2 linked regions of the Neodiprion lecontei genome follow. The protein of the gene in region 1 binds, or shares a complex with, the protein of each later gene. Links are inferred from orthologs where the notes say so. Each region holds a gene or a part of one and is shown on either strand. Other genes may lie near its edges.

The links.
Region 2: transcription initiation factor TFIID subunit 1 (region 1) and TATA-box-binding protein share a complex: the UniProt entries of both Caenorhabditis elegans proteins name them as parts of the TFIID basal transcription factor complex. The link is inferred for Neodiprion lecontei from reciprocal best matches to the Caenorhabditis elegans genes taf-1 and tbp-1.

The regions. Positions count from the first base shown.
Region 1 is NC_060261.1:1,232,866-1,240,053, forward strand, and holds the start of transcription initiation factor TFIID subunit 1, read right to left. Parts: upstream 4,529-7,188; 5' UTR 4,275-4,528; exon of another isoform or gene 4,152-4,274; 5' UTR 4,044-4,151; coding exon 3,279-4,043; intron 3,138-3,278; coding exon 1,591-3,137; intron 1,517-1,590; coding exon 1,254-1,516; intron 1,139-1,253; coding exon 777-1,138; intron 704-776; coding exon 1-703. UniProt on the Caenorhabditis elegans protein: The TFIID basal transcription factor complex plays a major role in the initiation of RNA polymerase II (Pol II)-dependent transcription.
Region 2 is NC_060261.1:14,533,837-14,540,725, forward strand, and holds TATA-box-binding protein, read right to left. Parts: upstream 4,325-6,889; 5' UTR 3,963-4,324; coding exon 3,705-3,962; intron 3,607-3,704; coding exon 3,476-3,606; intron 3,414-3,475; coding exon 3,170-3,413; intron 3,095-3,169; coding exon 2,896-3,094; intron 2,658-2,895; coding exon 2,581-2,657; 3' UTR 2,244-2,580; downstream 1-2,243. Other genes in the region: cilia- and flagella-associated protein 44, read left to right, coding at 282-555, 687-841, 966-1,210, 1,292-1,583, 1,685-1,835, 1,919-1,959; splicing factor 3B subunit 5, read left to right, coding at 5,885-6,142; exosome complex component MTR3, read right to left, coding at 6,318-6,614, 6,878-6,889. UniProt on the Caenorhabditis elegans protein: The TFIID basal transcription factor complex plays a major role in the initiation of RNA polymerase II (Pol II)-dependent transcription.

The DNA.
Region 1 (7,188 bases):
GTTTGATGAAGGTTTCGTCCTTGGAATTTCTTATCTTTATGTAAGTGTCTATGACGGCTGGTTTTCTCACCAGCTCAACTCTGGTGAATTCCTTTCCGTCAGGATTTCTAAAGGTTCTATATATTTTTAGCACTCTACCTTGTTGCGGTCCATAGTTATTCACAGGACCATCATCTTCGTCGTCTTTCTTTTTCTCTTTACTTTTTTTCTCCTGCTCTTGCATGTCGCCCATTATCATTTTTCTGAGCTCATGTCGTTCCTGTTCTTCTCTCTCAAGGGACAACTGGGTACTGGTCTTTTTGTTCGACAACATGTTCTCAATATTTTTACCCATTTCTTCAATATCTGAACTATCTTCATCAGAACTCTCACCCTCGTCGGTACTGAGTACTTCATTCGACGACAAGACACGATTCTGCAGGTCGAATATTCTTTGACACTCTTCTTTGTACCTTTCCTGGTGCTCAGCTATAGAGAATCTATTACCTCTTGAAAACTTTGTCATACCCTCTTCTCCTGCTTTCGCTTTTTCCGTCGACAAAGTTCGCACAACGTCAATTACCTCCCACCGTGAAAGTTTTTTAATTTCTTCTTCAGGCACACCAAACTTTCGTAGTAAAGCCTTTGCATTGTTCAACGAAAGCCTACGCAAATCTGCATCTGTGCCAGTAACTGTTCTCTTTGGCTGTGCTTCCTGCTCTTCCTAAACAGCAATGAGAAATTATTATTATCATTTTGTTTAACTTCCCCACAAAAAATGTTCGCATCGTACTTACTTTGCTGATTGTCGGTTTGTTTGGCACTCTTACATAAGAAAAGCCTTCCCCACAGCCTGTAGGATCGGCTGGACCAGCCAACTGTAATAAACATTTCCCTCTCATCGCTTGAATATAGGCACGTGTTGTGTTCCAGGGTGCAACTTTGACTTCATCATCCATTTTCAACTGCATTTCTTCATCGTCGTCATCCTGAGGTGTGAACAAAAACTTTTCACCATACCCAGCATCTTTAAGTCTCTGTTCGGCTGCGATCATACTAAAATAGGCGCAACACTGCTCCGGAGAAACCATAGCTCTGATTTCTTCCTCAGTCGGCAGTCTGAAGTCTGGCTTGATTACCCACCAATTTGAGTCCATTCCTAGTTTAAAAAACGAAGGTAACAAATCACAAATTTTTTAATAATACTATTCTTTGCAGAATTTGATAGAAATATGTAAGGAAATTTTACGAGGCTGATACAGAGTGAAATGTACCTGTTCTTTTAAAATCAGCGCAAAGCTTCAGTCTCTTTCTTATACTGCTTTCACTATGCGATGGGAATGCTTTTTTAATATCATCCATTTTGATTCGCCTAGGAGTGTCACGAGATTTCCAGAATAATCTATATATGAAAACTTGCAAGAAATCTCTTACAAAGTTGTTTGCTCGTTTGGAATTTGGACCAGGAACTTCATACAACGGACACTCTTGTCCAGCAATAAATAAGGCATCTATTTCCCTCACGAAATATTGCTGTCTGAAAAATGGGCAATGTTTAGACCAGTGATTAGAGTGATTCTATTTCTACAACAACCTTTGAAGCAGCTGTACCTTGTCCTTATTATCAAGAAATCAGTCTCTGGACCATTGTGTTCATAAATCGGGGCCCTGTACATGTTATTTTCAATAGCCTGAATACTTTGGCCAGGTGTTAAGATGCCCAAAAATGGGCTGGTGTGCGCATAAGCGACCTCTCCATATTTGTAACGCATAGGCCCTTGATCCTTTCCAGCTCTTCGTTTGTAGTAATTCTTGACTTTGGAGCACATTCCAACTTGATTCATCAGAGGTGGATGTTCCTCAGAAAACTCAATGAGAACAATTTCCCCATCTCTTCCAGTCAAATCTTCAGGTGTCCTCATGAAGAAGACATCTCCACCTCCCGAGGCAATTCTCTCCTGTTCTCTTTGCTTAGCTTTCTTCTTGATGTGCTTGAGGAGAGGCAACACGTGGTGGGGACCAGTGTGAGACAGAGGTCCGTGACTGTACCTCTTTAACGGAGGTCTATGGAAATTCCTCAGTCTCATAGGTCCCATGTGTGTCTGTACGAAAGGTGCTCGCAATTCTACGACCGGTGTGCTATGCTGTATTAAATTGCCACCGCCAACTTTTAATCGTAATGTTGTTTCCGAAGAGCGAGGCATGTAGTAAGAGTCATTTGATATGTTGAATGGATCTCTATCGGGAGACTTTGGAGGTGGAGGCGGAGCATCCTCTTCAAGAACGTTGATAACTCCTGCTTTACCCAGCAAAAGTTTGCTTTTTTTCACATGAGGGTGTGGGATTTTTACCTTAGGTTGAGGCCCATTGTCTTTATGAAGAAGAGCTGGGTCTATGTCATCCGGTATTCCCAATACAATGTTTTCATCGTTTGGATCTAGGGTGAGAATCTTTGGTTTCGGTATTTTCGTCATGTGCTCAGCATCCCAGATAACTTCCTCTTCCCAGAGTCCGTAAACTAACTCCTCATTCTCCACAGGGAAAATAGAGTACCAAGTATCGTCATAGTTTTCTTCACGCTGTTGCTGCTGGCTGCCTTTACCCATCGATGCAAGTTTACTCTTAGACTGCATGTGCAGAGGAGTCGCTATTTGCGATGTAGCAAGTCGAACGTTAGGTGCTACAGGAACAGGAGTTCCTTTTCCTGGCTGGCTGAAGGCCTGAGCAGTTCTGTTACTGCTCGAAGGTACCCAACCAGCAGCATTATTCTTGCTATTTAATTTTTGCATCACTTTATGTTTTATATCATCACCATTCCACACGACATCATCCTCCCAATGCAGTTGAGACACCATAAGAAAGGAATCGTCTGGAAATGTATCCTCATCTTTTGACTTGCAGACTTCTTCAGTTTTCTCCGCAAGTTTGAACCCATAATTAAAGCCGTCACCAGTCTCTGGGACTTCCAACATGTCATACCAAATTTGGGCTGGACCGAAGCGCCAGTCTGCAACTTTTGGACCCATGTCATTGCTGTCTCCCATGTCGCCAGTTTTACCAGTTTGTTCCTTGTCTTCGACGGGAAGCAATAACTTTTCTTCATCATCTGGGATACATTCATCTGGCGATGGAGTCGGTGCGTAATGCATTTTCCACCCCTGTTGGAAGATTGACTTAAATTCTCAAATTTGTGATATTTCTCACAGCTTTTAAAACATTTTCTAATGTCAAAATTGCTTAGTAGAAGAGTACCTAACTACATTTTCAGCTAATTAAAAGCTTTTCAATATTTATTGTACCTTGAACTTAGGTTTCCTCTCGTCGTGATCAGATCCCGAGTCTGAATCCTTCGGATCGTGGTGTTTCTTCTTTTTCCGCCGTTTTCGAACACCCCGCCAAATTTGCGGAAGGCTGCTAGGTTTGCCAGGGCCAAAAAGTCGCGAGAACCTAAGGACCTTATTGGGGCGAAAATCAGGAAACAATTCCGTAACGTTGATATTTGCATATTTGGAAGGCAGCATGGAAGCCAAGGGCGTTTCAAGCTTACGCTGGCGAGCAGCTTCTGCCTCTTCAGGGGTCAGAGCTTCTTTTTCATCTGGAATGGGCGGAGGAGGCATTAACTGAGTGTCAGATTTATTGACTCCCTCCTCATCATCTGCATCGTAGTCACTGGCTGCCCTATCCTGTTTCTTGGAGGACGCTTCTGCATCATCTTCGTTTATGTCTTCAGCTAATTCGTTAATATCAGAGAAATCCAACGCTGTTGGAGATTTTTCTAGATAGTTGACATCGTCAGACTCGGATTTGACACGTGTTTTATTTTCATCTTCATTTTCTCCTTTCTCATTTTCTTTTTCATTCTGTTCCTCATTGTCTAGAGCAATCATTTCCTGCAGTAAACTGCTAAGGCCGAGGCGACCCAGGGAAGCCAAATGGCGCTTCGCCTCGGAATCTAATATATCATCCTCCAACTGACCATCTTCATCAATGTTGCCAAATAAAAATCCAGTCATATTCATTTCCAGATCCATGTCTCTGTCGTTTTCCTCGTCTGAGTCAACCATTTTCAGCAGATACAAATGAGTGTGTTTTTGAGAAACGGTGGCTTTGAATCAGTAAAGATTAACTATTTTGAGGTTAGATGGTTGGCTTTACAAGCGGGGATTACTATCCTGTATTGATACATTAATTTAGTTTTTTAGTTTTTAATCGTATTTTACGAATATTAATTTCGCACCTATAACGTCTTGTCAATGTGTACGTAATAAATTGAACTTGGGAAATCAAAAGCTCACCCCTTGTTTAGCAACATTACTCGCAATCATATCCCGTTTTTAAAGCGTTGTCTAGTTTACGCTAGTTTTTTTAGAGTGTTGGCGCCATCTGATGCAAAACAGATTCTTAGAACTAATTTTCATTTGCAGACGCATGCTGATAAGCCACTGTGATAAGCGAAATAGATTTACCATCGCAGTAGGGTAAATGCAGTGAATAATAAACTATGATGATGAGGCTGGATTTTCACGGGCGTGAAGTTGACGCAAAAACACCATGCCGTTGGTGGCAAAAGGTCGCGAGCACGGTCTTATAAACAGGTTTGGGCACTCCAATTCCCTTCCTATATAACGCAGCGTGACCGACTTGAAGCCTGTGTTTCTCAATTTGTGCACCAAAGACCGGAGCGCTGCAATCTCCGAGGCAGGTGTATGCGTATTAAGTAGGCCTCTCCCTCACTAGCGCTAGCGGCAAAAATTCACAACATCGGCTTCATTTTCGAGCACGGTTTTACAGCCGGAGTACACAGACCGATCATAAAGACCGTGGTCGCTAGTGAAAATAGATACGACGAAACGGTGAAATGCCACGAGTTTTGAACTAGGTAGTTGAGACAGTGGTTCTCAGTTGCGTTTTTATCCCAAGGATTTAAAAATCTAGAATTTTTGATTGGCAGTGGAAAAAACGGAATAAATGGGGGAACGAAAAGGAAATCACATAAAATGTAGCGATTTTTCAAGGTGAGAAAAAAATCTAATTGATTCTCATGCTTCCACAACCATGAATTCGTGCATGATTGAGACGCCGCCTATTCATACGCTTATTACCGCATAGCCCATACTGAAAATGATGGAGGGTGTCCAGGGCGTTTCATCAAAACAATGAATAATAATATGAAATGGCAACAATACTTGACTCGCTTAAATGCATTACATGCATTACCATTCTACAATAAATAGAGTAATTGGAATATTATCTTATACCTCGAATAGCTATTATACTCATACAGCTGATAAACAAACTCTATAGAATACGCTGCGAGCTACGGTACATATCGATAGTTGCAGCCGAAGAACGTTCCACGCTCTTCTGAGTGCGTTTTCTGCATTCCAGGGGTCCAATTAGTCAAGAAATGGTCACACAAAATGGTTCTGAGACGAAAGATTTTTCGCTGAAAAATAAAGTATAAAGGCTATATCTTTGCATTTTTGGCGAAAATTATCGCGATTTTGAAAAGTGCTGGAATAAATTCTTTCATGCACTATTCCGACGTAATTTTGCGAGAGAAACCGATTGGGCGCAGTCCCGATACGCTGCGAGCAACAGATCAAAAGTTAGAGCCGAAAAACGAGAACCTGTGTTTTCGACATTTTTCAGCAGGTGCTTTCTCCTTCGTAATTTCTCTCCTGTTGATCCCACGCTCTTTTCGCTGCATTTTCTGAGTTCCTGGCGGTCCAATTAGGCAGGAAATGGTCGTACAAATCGAATCTGAGACCAAAAATTTTCGGCTCCAAAAATGAAGAAAAAGTAAGGCTAACCCCTTTGCATTTTTGGCGAAAATCTTCGCGATTTTGAAAAGTGCTGGAATAAATTCTTTCGTGCACTATTCCGACGTAATTTTGCGAGAGAAATCGACTGGGCGCAGTCCCGATACGCTGCGAGCAACAGATCAAAAGTTACAGCCAAAAAACCAGAACCTGTGTTTTCGACGTTTTTCAGCGGGTGCTTTTTCCTTCGGAATTTCTCTCCTGTTGATCCCACGGTCTTTTCGCTGCAGTTTCTGAGTTCCTGGCGGTCCAATTAGGCAGGAAATGGTCGTACAAATCGAATCTGAGACCAAAAATTTTCGGCTCCAAAAATGAAGAAAAAGTAAGGCTAACCCCTTTGCATTTTTGGCGAAAATCTTCGCGATTTTGAAAAGTGCTGGAATAAATTCTTTCGTGCACTATTCCGACGTAATTTTGCGAGAGAAATCGACTGGGCGCAGTCCCGATACGCTGCGAGCAACAGATCAAAAGTTACAGCCAAAAAACCAGAACCTGTGTTTTCGACGTTTTTCAGCGGGTGCTTTTTCCTTCGGAATTTCTCTCCTGTTGATCCCACGGTCTTTTCGCTGCAGTTTCTGAGTTCCTGGCGGTCCAATTAGGCAGGAAATGGTCGTACAAATCGAATCTGAGACCAAAAATTTTCGGCTCCAAAAATGAAGAAAAAGTAAGGCTAACCCCTTTGCATTTTTGGCGAAAATCTTCGCGATTTTGAAAAGTGCTGGAATAAATTCTTTCGTACACTATTCCGACGTAATTTTGCGAGAGAAATCGACTGGGTGCAGTCCCGATACGCTGCGAGCAACAGATAAAAAGTTAGAGCCGAAAAACGAGAACCTGTGTTTTCGACATTTTTCAGCAGGTGCTTTCTCCTTCGTAATTTCTCTCCTGTTGATCCCACGCTCTTTTGGCTGCGTTTTCTGAGTTCCTGGCGGTCCAATTAGTCAGGAGAAGGTCATACAAATCGAATCTGAGACCAAAAATTTTCGGCTCCAAAAATGAAGAAAAAGTAAGGCTAACCCCTTTGCATTTTTGGCGAAAATCTTCGCGATTTTGAAAAGTGCTGGAATAAATTCTTTCGTACACTATTCCGACGTAATTTTGCGAGAGAAATCGACTGGGCGCAGTCCCGATACGCTGCGAGCAACAGATCAAAAGTTACAGCCAAAAAACCAGAACCTGTGTTTTCGACGTTTCTCAGCGGGTGCTTTTTCCTTCGGAATTTCTCTCCTGTTGATCCCACGGTCTTTTCGCTGCAGTTTCTGAGTTCCTGGCGGTCCAATTAGGCAGGAAATGGTCGTACAAATCGAATCTGAGACCAAAAATTTTCGGCTCCAAAAATGAAGAAAAAGTAAGGCTAACCCCTTTGCATTTTTGGCGAAAATCTTCG
Region 2 (6,889 bases), about 13 Mb from region 1:
TTGATATAAATATCTATATGTGGTGTAACAAATTTGTTAACAATCACAGACTCTTACCTTCAATGAGATTTCTACATTATAGCCACGATCTCAGGAATGAAACAGAAACTTTTTGAATGCATTCTTCGTGCACATCGAGTATTTTTAACTCTTAAAAGTTGGTTGCGACATAGATATTGAAATTTGGCGAAGATTGGAGTCGCCATCATATGTAAATTGTCGAAACATAGATGAATATGTATATATATATATATAAAAATAACTTAATCATTGATTCAAAGGAAGAAATGTCGAGAATTGATTCAGAATATCGTGGAGACCTGAAGAAACTTGAAAACATCCTTAAAAGTCAGATGGAACAGAAAGAGTTGTTAAAGAATGAGATAAAAAACCTAAGTTTAAAATCAAAACCGCTACCACCAATTAGTTGTCAGAAAAATGCAAAAGTGAGCAAAAAAGGTGTGAAAAAGGCAACAAGGGAAAATGCAGTAGCGGTGATCAATATGGAAACTGGAGAAGGTGTAGCACTTGAGAAAATTGATACCCAAGTTGAAGGTGAAACGATTTTTAATATTTTGTGCAATGTAGAAAAATTTGATTTATAGACAATCACATCACATATCGTGAATCACACGACGATGTGTGAAATATCACGTCCACTATTAGAATAACAAAAATCATTTAAGTTGAGGGGGAAGAAGAAGAAACTAACAATAGAGAAAATGATGACGAAGAATGCATAGAGACGACAACAGAAGAAATGTATGACAAAAAAGAAAATGATGAGGACAACATGCAGCTGCAGCCGATGGATGAGTGCGACAATAATACGTCGACAATGGTTTGTTGGCACTGTTATACGTATTTGGTGCTACATATGCTGGACGAGATTTCTAAGTGCTAAAAATAAGAGGAAATAATAATAACGAAACTCAAAGATTGGATTCACCAACGTTATTTTGTAGGTACACCACTTGCTCTCACGAATAATTCAGGCCTCGTTAGGAGATGAAGAGGAGAGTGTGGAATGGGACATATTGCGAGAGGTGGTGTCTAACTTGCCAATCGGCGGCAGTAGAGAGGAATTGCGTGCTGGAATTGAACGAAGTATTGAAAACATTATTGCGTCACTGCCACAACAAGATGACCCGGAAAATGTTGAAGCAATGTGTCAAGCCATCCGGGAGATAATTAACGAAATTGTATTTCGGTTAGTTAATCACAATAGTCATTTATTCGAGGGACTTTTATAAATTAATAATTTTTCACCCACTTATGCATCAATTCAAAGATTGGACACTGAGACAAAGATAGTAAGGATAGACCAAGAAGAACCGCAGCGACTTGTAAAGAAATTGCTCGATGATATTGGAATAGACAAAGAAACTGGGATAGATATTACTATTCTTCAAGATTTGTTAGTTGAATTGTTGGCAGAAGAAGACGGAGTAACTGCTGCAACAAATCACCTCTTGAGCAATCTGCCAGACAATACTAGCGATGATGAGAAACAGGATATACGAGAACATGCAACCAAGGTGTTCACAGATATTTCTCAACTGATTATGCAATCCCAGGTATCGGTAAGATATTTAATTATTCGAATTCGAAATGCATCCTGTTTGATTGGATGACCAAAGCTGAAATTTAACGTCAATCATTATTTTCTTTGTTAATACCTAAGGCCGATGAACTTGAACACCCAGAACCAACAGTTGCAGTAAAACATGAAGAGAGCGAGCTTCTAGAACAAACTACAGAGCTATATATCGAAGAGACTCAACCTTCGCTGCCAACAGTAGAGTTAACTAGACAGGAATCTCAAGAAAAAAGAGGTAAATTTAATTCTGTTCTAAACAGCTCTCTATTACGGGTGATGTATGGTACATGAAATCTAATTTTTATTCCTACATCATAGAATCAACACAGAAGATATCAGAATCTGATTCGAAAGAATAATCATCTTGAAAGGAAAAAAAAAAAAGAAAATGTCGCAGCAATAAGAAAAAGGCTGGATAACTCTATGACTCAGACAACATTTACAGAAGAAACCGTTAGTTCTACTTCATAAACTCTCGCTACGCAGTGAAACAGTAAATACATGTCGTATTCACTGCTATGTATAACACATATTCTTTTCTCAAAAAACTGTGCTCATAGTTGATTCCTTTACAGTGTATTTGAATTTCACACATTTGTTAAATTTGATTTACTGGGAGGTTTGGAATAGTAGATTCGTAAAATACTTGGTACACTAACTTTATTTTTCATTACTTAACGGCAAAGCCCAGAATCAACAGCTTAATCTAAGAATTGTTCATAAAAGATAACGGCTTTGCGGCATAAGGCACCTGTCAGCCTGTAAGAATATATAAGTGCTCGCAAAAAACCGATAGTACTTCATGTCAATTGTCTTGTACAGTAACATTTTCAGTAGTTGCTATTTCAGTTATTCTTTTTTAACAAATAACGAACACTCGTCGTTCTGTACACCTCTGCAAATAGCAGCATTAATAAAAAGATTTTAGAAGACTATTCTTTCATCGGGGTATCAAAAATATCGTCAGATTCAGTTGGGAATCACTGCTTCTTAAAACTCTTCAGAATTGGATATATGTTATCGAAAGCTTCATAAATTTCTTGCCGTACTTTTGCACCTGTTGGTAACAAGAATATTATTATCGGTATGTATTACTACAATTACTGGACATGAAATAATTGGAAAGCACTGCTCATGTATTCACAATGATCAGCAAACTGTAATCTCTATTTGGGGACAAATGGTAACTTATTAGCAGGACAAATGTGAAGGATTTATCGGAAATATCAGAAATAATTTCATATCAAGCGAAAAGCTGTGAATATTTCATTGGATTTTCTTGATTAATTACTCACCAGTCAATACAACTTTGCCAGAAACAAATATAAGCAACACGATACGGGGTTTAACCATTCGATATATCAAGCCAGGGAATAGTTCTGGTTCATACGAAGAGAATTGGCCGTGCGTTAATACAAGTCCTTCTAATCTGATGGGGAATTTGACATCGCAGCTTCCAACCATATTTTGAATTTTGAAATCCAGAAATTTAGCCTAATAAAAATTTAATAAGTTTCGTACAGGAAACGGATCTCATCATATGAAATTTGACAACATACAAGTACTCACTGGAAATCCAAGCTTCTGTATGATACGTGCATATTTTCTTGCAGCCAGGCGAGAGTCCTCTTCACTTTTAGCGCCGGTACATACCATTTTTCCGCTGCTGAATATCAAGGCGGTAGTTCTGGGTTCTCTTATCCTCATTATAACTGCTGCAAATCGTTTCGGATTATACTCGGCGTTTCTAGCATGTAGCGCAATTTCCTTCAAGTTAAGCTTGCAGTTGAGATTCACCGTTGACACAATGTTCCTAAGGAATAATTAGGAATTTAACAAATAGTAACAGACATTCAGTAGCCAATGGGAACATACTGAAGCTGGGGTAGAATTCCAGGATCAGCGGAAGCAGGCGTCATTGGTGTCATCGGGCCTGGAGTTGACGGTCCGATTGAAGGGGGAGCTATTTGACTTGCTGGTTGAACCATAGGCGACATCATATTTTGCTATGAAAAAATAATAGCAAAACATCATCCTTAAGTGGTTAAGAACTTTTATAACATTAGTTGGTGAAAAAGCGAGTGAAATAATAGATAGTGTTTACCGGTGTTTGTGGCTGCATAAGACTTTGCGGCGTTGCGAATGCCGGAGCATAAGTGTGCATAGTTTTGTGCGGTGTACCCAACATTGGCATTCCGTGTACGTTTGAACCCATCGGATGCATTTGCTGTAGTTGATTTTGTTGGACTTGTTGTTGTTGTTGTAGCGCATTCGGCAATATTTGTTGATCCTCTTCAGGTTGATGTAACGGTGTGCCGATACTCGGGATGCTGAATCCCGGACTCGGGAGCATTTGATCCATCGTGGATGTTTATGTAAATTTCAATTTAATACAAATTTTATAATTTGCCACTATGTGCAATCTTGATAATCGAGTGAACTTGGTAACTAAGGCCAGTTAGCACATTACTTTGATGACCAAGTAATGTTGATTTGCGAAAGTGCAGTGTCGTTACCCTGTTATATTGATAATCTAATACTTCGCCGACACATTCATACAAAATCACATACTTAAATTTAATATCACAAATTCATTCTTCTAATATATGAGCTATTCCGAAGTTAGGGAGATCCTGTACTCATTTTTCAACAGACACCATTTTCGGTTAAGGTATCAACAATAATTCTGTACAAGAGGATGGGTTAGGTTAGCTCAGGATAGGTTAGATTGGCGGCGGGGGAGGGGGGGGGGGGGGAGGGGGGCACGGTGTAAGAATAAGAGGTGGTCCAACTGGCCCTCGGTTACTGTGATTATTTTGTCTTAGTACGACGGAAATCCGCCAGGGGCCTTATGCGTCTGTGAGGATGAGTAAGATAAGGGCCGTGTTCGAAAATTGACTGACAGTACTGTCAGCAATCTTTCATCTCTTTTGCGCTTCCCAGTTCGTGAATAGCTCTGACTCTGTCCTAGGGAATTTTGAGTACTGTTAGTCAATTTACGAACACGGCCAAGATCTTAACGTCACCAGCTAACCTACAGCGGTGGTGGACATTGTGAGAATGATGATCATTTTCCTTTTTTTTTCAGGTCGCAAATAGAGCCAAACACCAGCCCCCTGACACTCGCCACTGCTCGTATACTAAAAAATTGTATGCGTTTTGTCCCCGTTTTTTAGTTCCCCTACGTGGCGCTAGTAAACTTCTGACACCCTCGCTGCCTTCGTAGACCGCGCGCACGCTTTTCAGACAACTACTAGCGCCACTAGTGGTGGAGATTGGCGGCAGAATCGAGGGACATTTTGCGAACCACTTTTAGCAGCGTGTGTCAGGGAACTGACCAAACACCCAACACAAGACGGACAAAACTTGTCTTCAGTAATTGTACACATTAGGGTTATTTTCTGTACTACTAGCGTTGCTAGTGTAGTTTTTCTACCGAAGTGGCATTGGTTGCAGGTATGCCAAAGATCAATCCGGAGTGAGAGAGATAGGTTGAATGCGGTCAGCTTGACCACTATCTGTGCATCATCAGTTTTAAGCATAGACTTATAAAGATAGACTGAGCGGTCTTATGAGCCGCTTGAAGCAAACATTTAAAGGACAGAAATATGCCGGGAGACTCCCTTCTCTCTCTGACGATATTTGGGGCTGGGATCGAGGCGATAGAGGAGAATGAGGCGAAATTATGCGCCTATATCTACAGCTGTTCCACTTCCACTGCTCCGTTGTCTTCCACCATGACGCCAATTGAAAAGTGAGAGCAGTAGTCCTGATATATCTCTGTCCCTTATATGTGATTGTCAGTGCCTCTTCTAGGAGCGCTTAGTCTATCTTTATAAGTCTATGGTTTCAAGACGAAGCGTGATTTGTAACGTTCGACAATATCTGTCTAGTTTTGTGTCAAAACTGATAAAAATACGGACTCGGCATCTGGACCTGCATACATACATCAACAAAACTTTTGTGAAAACCAAGTAGTTAATCTTGTACATACATTAGAAAACTGATCTCGTTAATCATTTATAAGAGAGACCAAGAAGTGTACTAGAAACTTATCAAGAGCGTTGTCAAAAGTAAGTAGAAAAGTATATCAAGTGAAATTTTTCACTATTTTAGTAATTGTTAATATTGTGAAGTATAACTGACATTACATATTGCAAGAGTACATTCGGCCATACGACAGACGGTGATAAATGAATTTATGGAATATTGCGTCCCATTAATAGCGCTAACCTATAATTTCGAGGTTATGTATCACGCATTTTGTTATTGTTCAATTTAGGAATGGGGGAACGTTACAATATCCATAGTCAGCTGGAACATCTTCAATCCAAGTACATTGGGACAGGTCATGCAGACACAACGAAATTTGAATGGTTGGTTAATCAGCACAGAGATTCATGTAGCTCTTACATGGGGCATTACGACCTTCTAAATTTTTTTGCGCTAGCTGAAAACGAAGCCAAGGCACGCGTCAGATTTAATCTGATGGAGAAAATGCTGCAGCCTTGTGGCCCACCTCCAGAAAAACCAGAAGATTAATCCTATCTATAAAAAATAAGCTGCGAACTGATTTTTTCTGTTACTCTAAAAATATAAATAAACCAATTCTTATCAACTCAAATGAATGTATAAATTTTTATGTACATCATGCTCTCCTTGTCAAACTAATCAATGGAAAATTTCAAGGTTCATTCATTTCTAATCATGTTTTTATTTAATTTTTTTCCTGTTCCTTTCGCTTTAAAGCTCTGAGGACAGTTTTGACTAAACATTGCTGAACAACTGGACATATATTCTTATTAGCTACAGTGAGGGTTTCGATAGCTTGTTTTATGCAATCTATGTTAATGCTTCCAACGAGAAAAAACTCTGAAATCTGGTCATGTTGCGGTAAAGCAGCTTGCATGATCAGTCCATGGTTATTGGGTGGGTTTGGCTTTGCTGGTGCAGAATTACAAAGTACCTCTTCCTCCACTGTCAGATCCAAAAACATTGTATCTTTATAGAACCCCTGAAAATGAGAAGTTCGTTAACAGTTTAAGGAACATAAATATCTCAACAGCTGTTATTTTTATTACAGTTTTCCGTCTATCTGCACTTCTGTAACACTATAATTGAAATTTTCAAGAGACTCATATCCATGTGAAGAATGCAGTTTGACAATAGTTCATTATGAATGAAGATGTTTCTATTGTGAAAGATTTTACGAAGATATTTCAAATTGAGTTGGCCTGTGGAGGTTTCACGAGCATCTACTGCCTTTACTTCACTTACTGCGGAAACTGC